Nothobranchius furzeri: one gene and its partner. The protein of the gene in region 2 purifies or fractionates together with the protein of the main gene of each other region. This does not show direct contact. Links are inferred from orthologs where the notes say so. Each region holds a gene or a part of one and is shown on either strand. Other genes may lie near its edges.

Evidence for each region. The genes of interacting proteins can lie anywhere in the genome.
Region 1: the proteins of phlpp2 (region 2) and usp1 purify together in Homo sapiens (affinity purification with mass spectrometry; 3 studies listed by BioGRID and IntAct, with this or other methods). This does not show direct contact. The link is inferred for Nothobranchius furzeri from reciprocal best matches to the Homo sapiens genes PHLPP2 and USP1.

The regions. Positions count from the first base shown.
Region 1 is NC_091748.1:69,501,249-69,505,369, forward strand, and holds the start of usp1 (ubiquitin carboxyl-terminal hydrolase 1), read right to left. Parts: upstream 2,923-4,121; 5' UTR 2,699-2,922; coding exon 2,538-2,698; intron 2,383-2,537; coding exon 2,238-2,382; intron 1-2,237. UniProt on the Homo sapiens protein: Negative regulator of DNA damage repair which specifically deubiquitinates monoubiquitinated FANCD2. Also involved in PCNA-mediated translesion synthesis (TLS) by deubiquitinating monoubiquitinated PCNA.
Region 2 is NC_091749.1:59,321,411-59,324,763, forward strand, and holds part of phlpp2 (PH domain leucine-rich repeat-containing protein phosphatase 2), read right to left. Parts: intron 2,949-3,353; coding exon 2,748-2,948; intron 2,623-2,747; coding exon 2,460-2,622; intron 2,371-2,459; coding exon 2,240-2,370; intron 639-2,239; coding exon 525-638; intron 258-524; coding exon 63-257; intron 1-62. UniProt on the Homo sapiens protein: Protein phosphatase involved in regulation of Akt and PKC signaling.

The DNA of each region.
Region 1 (4,121 bases), on a different chromosome or scaffold from region 2:
GAGCCGTACCATCTCGGACTTTGTATGCTAGTGTTAGCTATTTGAATTTGATGCGTGCTGCTAGCGGTAGCCAGTGGAGCTCAATGAACAGAGAGGTGACGTGTGTTGCTGCGTTCTGGACATTAGCTGGTACATTCTGACATCACAACATCATTTTGAGCCTGTGGCCATTTCTCAGTACTCAAGGATGCTAGTATGTTCATGTGTACTAGACAAGTATGTTCTTGGCAAGGACACCAGAAAGTCTGTTCTACCGAGTACGGGAGGACGAGGACGGCATTTGGAACAGAACCGTACTCCGTTGTGTCCTGGCAACAAGCGCTGCTTCTTGCTACAGATAAAAAAATGATCTGACATTAAAACAAAAGTCTAGTTCGTTACTTAAATAATAAAAAAAAAAGTATTATTTGTATTATATTGGGCCCACTTTTGATCGAAACTATTAAAATACTAGCATTTCCCACTTTTTAATGAATAAAAAGTTTATTATTCAATTCAATTCAAAGATACTTTATTAATCCCAGAGGGAAATTAGTTTCAGTACACACAATTCTGAGATCAGACACGGCAAGAATTGGTGACTGTGGTCATTCGCAACCCGAGTCGCGCTACCTTAATAGAGATCAGAGGGTTTACATGAGGATTGAGTCAGGTGGAGGGAAAAAAGGCACTTCAGAGTTACCCTCCACAGGGAGGACAGCATTGCTACGCAAAACACACCTCAGACAGAAATGCAACAGACTTCAGACATTACACAACATAAGTGTCCACTAGGTGGGGTGGTAGGGTTTCGGGACTCTCCACACATCAGCAGCAGCCGCGATAAGCAGCGCTCTCCACCTCAGTCTGGATAGGGGTGGGGGGTTGTTGGGTTTACAGAGCACAGTGACTTCTGGAACGATTCAGCGGCCTTCACAGCTCGCAGTCCCACCCAGGCCGGGATAGGGAGACAGAGTTGCCATGGCAACGGCAGCATTCCACATTTCTTCTGAGGGAGGGTATTTGTTTCAGCCTCACAGGCTCAAGGGCACCAGATTCAGACAAGCCAGTTTCCAGAAAAAATGTAGAAGCTCCGCACACCCAAAGACAAACAAAGAGCCTTGGGGATAAGATAGGGAGGAGAGGAGGAAAAAGGCGTCTGTACTCTCCAAGAGCCGGAAGAAGATCATCAGAACAGAGCTACAGTGCTTTTATTTTGATAGTGGGTTAGCTAATTAGCATTTTGAAGGATCGGGAAGAGTAATACACACAGCAAAATTTACAGTTTACACGCGAATATTTACAATAACAGACAACTTTGTTACTTTATTTATATCTCCAATGTAAAACATTAGTTATTCGCTTTTTCCTCTGACATTCGGAGTTTAACGGTTTGCAACGCAATGCATTATGGGAAACTGCTGTCCCATGTCCGCAGAAGGATGCATTGATGCATCCTCGATACAATGGGTGGAGCAAGAACACATCCGGGAACTTTGAGCCGTTATGCATACATAGGATTGGAAAAGTCCTCGTTGATGACGTTTCATAAGGACACGAGTACACAAGCTCGGACAAGTATGCACACTGAGAAACGGCCTGTGTGTAATTGTTAGCGGCTCCACCCTCTTGGTCTGCCAGGCAACAGCATTTGTTGCAGTTTTCAAACATGAAGTGGGAGCAGAGCAGGGCTATTCAATCCTGGTCCTGGAGGGCTGGTATGCAGCACGTTTTAGTGGTTTTTCTGCTCCGAAACACCAGATTCTGTGGTTGAATCACCTGTGCAGCAGCTCATCAAGCTCTGCAAAAGCTCGTTAATCACCTGCTGATTGAAATCAGGTGTGTTGAAGCAGAGCTAAAACTAAAATGTGCTGGAAACCAGCTCTCCAGGCCCAGAACTGAATAGCCCTGGAGTACAGTAAGTTTCTTGTAGGGGGGGTGACTTGCTCTTTAAGTTCAGTGCCTTGCATTCTTTATTTTCTACAAGTTGCAAAGTTCATTCAAAGTTGTTGTTGAATTAAGTCTCATCCCTGTTTTAGTTATTAGATCTTAACTGACTTTATCACAGCAAAGAAGTTTGCAAAAGTAAATTGCAATTGCACCATACATGTAAAATAAAGTCTATGAATACAAGCCAACACGTCAAATGAAGAAAATATGATTTTTCCCAATTTAAGATCATTTTTGAATTGTCACATTTCACAAGTTTAACAAAATTGGTATTAGTTATTAGTTTGCAGTTTCATTTAAATACTAACCTGTAAAATACTATTTAAATAGCAGGTGTTGCCCAGGTTATTGAGACCCACGAAAGGAATCAAGTTATCTTTCTTCTCACATGAGGCTGGAAGACCAGGTGATGCTTGATAAGGAGAGGGACCATAGACCACCTGTTCACAGGTGCTGAAGGGCGAAAACAGGAAAAAGAAAAACTCACGAGGGCTTCACAAGAATCACGTGTTGAAAATAAAACATAGATACAAGTGTTACGGGTAGTGTTAGTGCTCAATTTGAAGTTTTAGTGATCAGTTATCAACCAATCATCAGGAACTTCCTACCTTCCCTCTGGTTCGGTTGTTTTGGGTTCCTCTGCAGGAGGTTCAGAGAAATCCAGAGCTCGCTTGGCTTCTTTCTTCTGGAAAAACTTCAGAGACAGTCTACTCTTTTTCACCGGACTCCCATGTGCCGGCCCAGCACTCTCACCTTGCAGATTTGACATGTTTTCTAAGGTACCTTTAATTTTTCAACCAAGACGCAACAGCACCCTACTGGCCAAAATAAAAACGGCAACATCCAATTTCGATGGGCGCCATCAGAGTTCCACACGAACGAACGTAACCTACGCACTCAAGTTTGGGTTCTAGTTATAAGCAAATTGGCTTGAGAATAGCAGTGTTGTTTGTTCTAGTTCAACAAACTACACCCAATTACCGACTAAACAAAGAATTTTATAAACACACCAGCTGGCTTCAGCTGACTTAACGATTTAAGCATGGCGACACCACACCTCCTCAACTAGTGTGGAGCCGTTGTATTGTACTATTTGGGAAATGCTAACATGAAACTAGCACGCAGTTAAAATAGGTTTTCAGCTATTTTCACAACACACAGTAACGAAACTAGGTCGGCATTGAGGTGTTGTGAAGAAGTGGGAGGAGTAAACAGGCAGCACGCTGCCTCTACAAGCAAACGAGCAGTCTTAATTAAAATAGCGAGCTGACCGTTTTAATTCTCACCTAAAAGATTCATTCCGATTTTACATGTGATAAATTATCCCAAATGTCCCGTCTTTTGAACCGTTTTGACTAATCGGACGGCGGTGGAGAAGTTGGCGCTTTTTCCTGCTAAAGAACCCACTAGCCGTTACTCTGCCGGTGAAGCCCTTCCTTCATTTAGAAAATATCTGTCAAAATTTAGCAAAAATACGGCTTAAAAATACATGATAGACTATTATAAAAACATTTAATTTGAACAGACTTGTTTAAAAAGACATGAAAAGATATATTGGCATTTTATACAGCAGGCATAAATTAAGCCACCTCCAAAAAAGCCTGCTTGTCAAAGACGCCATATTGTAGTTTTAGAAAGGGGCAGGCAGGATCTGGCTGCGAACAGCTTAGGCCAGGCAAAATTTTCATGATAACAAAAAAGTACAGTACACAGACATTATCATCATCTCTTGGCCAGGCCAATGTTCTTCCGGACCTTAATAGTTTAAAACGTTTAACACGTTAAAATATCGTATTTCTGAAAATGTAATTTCATATCAAAGTGTAAACGAAGACGTTTGAAAACAATTGAACTGGCACATTTACCATGGGTTCATTTGTGTCATTTGTTTTTTGCGTGTGACTTAATTATGATAAGTACAAATACCAGATTTTTAGTTGTTTAATTTAGCATATTTCATCAAATGGTAGTGATTTATTATACATTAATCTTTGGGGTCTCTCTCTCTCTCTCTCTCTCTCTCTCTCTCTCTCTCTCTCTCTCTCTCTTCATATTTATTTATTTATTTTACTACTGAAATCTTCTTTTTGTGACTGTTATTTTGAAAAAAATATAAGCGGAAATTCATATTTCCCTATCCAAATCAATTGGTCCCTTGCAGAACCAAAACTAATTTAACATTTAGATAAAAC
Region 2 (3,353 bases):
GGGGAAAACTCCAGATTGCTGCTTTAAATAAAATAATTAAATACTATTAAAAATGGCCTTACCTGTGTGAGGTGAGAAAAGTGTTACACATGTATACAGTGTCTACGCTGGAATGCTGCAAATCCTCACACAGCACATCTCCCATGGTGCACTGCAGCAGCCGAGGCACTTGCTCGTTGCGATCGCCGTCAAAGATACCATAGCAAGCTTCCACGCTGTCTCTAAAGTGGTCTACAGCCAGCACAGACACACACAACCTGTACCAGACAATAATAAAACATGAACGTCTGCAAACCTCTTACACGCCACAGATTTAACAAGACAGGCTGAAAACTGACAAGCTGTTTGGGTCCCTGTGGTTGCTAGAACCCCACAGGAAGGCTTTAAATTCAGATACCACCTTAAAAGTTGTTTGTGTAGTAATGCAGTAAAATAAATGTCTTATTTCTCTTCCAGTTTGAGTCATTTTTAAGCTGCGTTTCTCCATGCAATTCAATCACTGAAAGCCAAAACACAGTACACACTTATTTCTTTGGCCTCTCATTTCAGAGTAACCGTGGCGCCACAGCGTTGAGGAACTCAGCGAGTCACCCGACGTCGTTGTGGATTTCTGGTCCAGTTTCAGTGTAGTAATATTACTGAAAAAGGAAAAATACAATACTGACAAAGCAGACGTTTTCTAGATCGACACTCCAAGTAACTTCTCATTATTATTTTTGTAACTATGTATTTCCCATTTATTTTCTACACTCTAAGAAATGAAATGTTGATTTTGCTTAGCCAACTGGTTCCACTAAACCTAGCTGCTTAAATGTAAAAAGTAATATACATTGTTATACAATGTTATGTTACAGGTAAATATATATTACTCTTTACACTGAGCTGTTTCCTGCTCCTCCCCCCTCCTGGCTGAAAGTGGAATTACAACTGTCGTAAACAACCATGCAGCAGCCTGCTGTAGCTAGCGCTAACAACAAGCTAACACTAATATGAGCCAACTAATACTAACATAGACCACAAAGTAAAACATATCCACTGGACAAAAAGTATTATTACTTACAAGTCCAGTAGCAACAAAGCCAGGTCACCATCAGTCCGTGATTTTGTAGCCTCCTTCAGCTCCCTCAAACTAGTGTAGGTCGCACCGATGCTCACTCTAGTTTTAGCTTTTTACTTCACCTCCAAATACATTATTCTCTTAGTTTTACTTCCAGGATCCACCTTGATGACAACAGAAAAGACAAACTTCTTCTTTTTCTTCTTCTTGGGCTCTTTAATGACTATTGGCAAACTGAAAAAGCTAACTGCTAGCAAAACAACTAACAACTGTAAAGCAGGTAAAAAGCACCTATCAGCTCCACAAAACTGTTAAGTGCAGTATCTGTCCAACTGCAGAATAGTGTCAGATATGAAATTGGTCAAGTTTCTAACTCAACAATCACTTAGATCAATGTTAAAGCTCCAGCCTAAAGTTTGAAAAACTATGTAGTGTTACTAGGTTAGTGGAACCAGTTGACATAACTTGGTTAAAGGTCAAATTCCCTGAAAACCCTTTTTTTAGTTATTATTTCTGATTATAATCAGTTTTTTATGCAGCCCGAACATAAAAATAGTGTCCTACACCTATCTCCTGCATTAGCTTCTGATAGAAAATAGACAGTGAAACTTCAGGATTTGAAAATTCTGACAGATCTACGCCACACTGCTTAACATTCATGAACTCACCCATCTTGACTCGTTACGGGGGAAGGCTCGGGTCTGTTAGCGTCCAGGAATCAGCAGAGAACGTTTCGACTAGCAGAAGCTAACGGTTAGCATTAGCAACTCCACCACACAGCAGCATTCCTTCAGGCTTGTGTTATTTGTGGAGATAAAACATCAACATTGCAAAACAAGCGGAGTCAGTGGTAGAGTTGCACTGCTGTGAGCCTATCTGAAGTGAGATGTCCAAATATCAGTAAATAAGACTCTAAATCCTGTCATCCTGCCACTTTCTCATCCAGCTCAATTCTAAATTCTCAAACAGGCGCACCAGAGCTTTATTTCCCCAGACTATGACTTACAAGGCTTTCATTAATTAGAGAATACAAATGTTTTAAAATATGAGTAAAGTTGACCTTTAAGTAATCTCAAGAGTTCATTTCTTAGAGTGTATTGCACATTAGATGCTGCTTTCAGACATCTACCCAATTCGAAGAGATTCAATTTGATTCTTAAGTGAACGGCTCACGGAACTCACCTAAAGAAGTTAAGGGTTTTGTTTTCCAGCGTGAGGCTGCCGTTTCCTGTCAGATCCAGCTCTTGCAGCGTAGCAGGCAGAGACTCGGGAAGCTGGATCTCTGTCAGCTCATTACAGCTCAGATCTACTAGCTGCACGCAGAAAAAAGCAAACGTGAGAGCAAACGTGAGCTGAAACATGCTGAGGTCAATCGTGTGTGGTCAGATGGACCGGGTCTGACCTTGATTTCGGGCAGGTTGAGGATGTCGGGGAAGGTGTTTATGTGATTGGAGTGTGCTATGAGCGTGTGCAGCCTCTTGCAACTGGACACAGTCGAGGGGATTGTCTTTAGCTTGTTGCCACTTAAATTTAGCTCCTCTAGCAGTTCCAGCTTACTCAGCTTACTGGATAAATGGCACATGGAAAAATAATCTCAGATAACAGCAAATCACTATTCATTATATCAGATTCATTCAAAAGTTGTCAATGTTATAAATGCTTCAAAGACAGTGAAGGTTTGGGGTCAGACCTGGCTGGAAAGGAGAGCAGCTGGTTGTAGGCTATGTGAAGGATCCGCAGGTTCTGGTGTCCTACCAGCAGCGCTCCACAGTCCTCGTTCAGGTTGTTCCCCGTCAGGTAGAGCTCCTGGAGTGTGCTGAGGCTCTCCTCTGATTGGCTGCTAAGAGGAACACTTTCCAGGGCATTGGCTGACACGTTTAGGTATTTCAGACTTAAAAGAATAATAATAAAACAAATTAGGATATATCGTCAGGTGTGCAATAGTCTTTATTAGATGGATTAAAGCTATAATTCTAACTTTAACTATGGCTGCTTGTGCAGTTATTAAAATAGAGATGAGAATTTACAGTGCTCAACTAATTAAATTCATTCTTGATATAAGAATTTTATGTGGAAGACTTAAAAAAATAAAGTCATAACACTTATGCATCTTCATGCATATAATTAACAAATACATATTGTGGCTGTGATACGTTTGCAACTGCAGGGGAGCATTTTCACACAACACAATAAGACAGAAAACAGGCTTTTTATAAAAAAAAAAGACTGAAATATTTTACAAAACAATCGACCAACTTCATTGCTAAAATTTTTATTTGTAAGAGTGAAGAAGGGG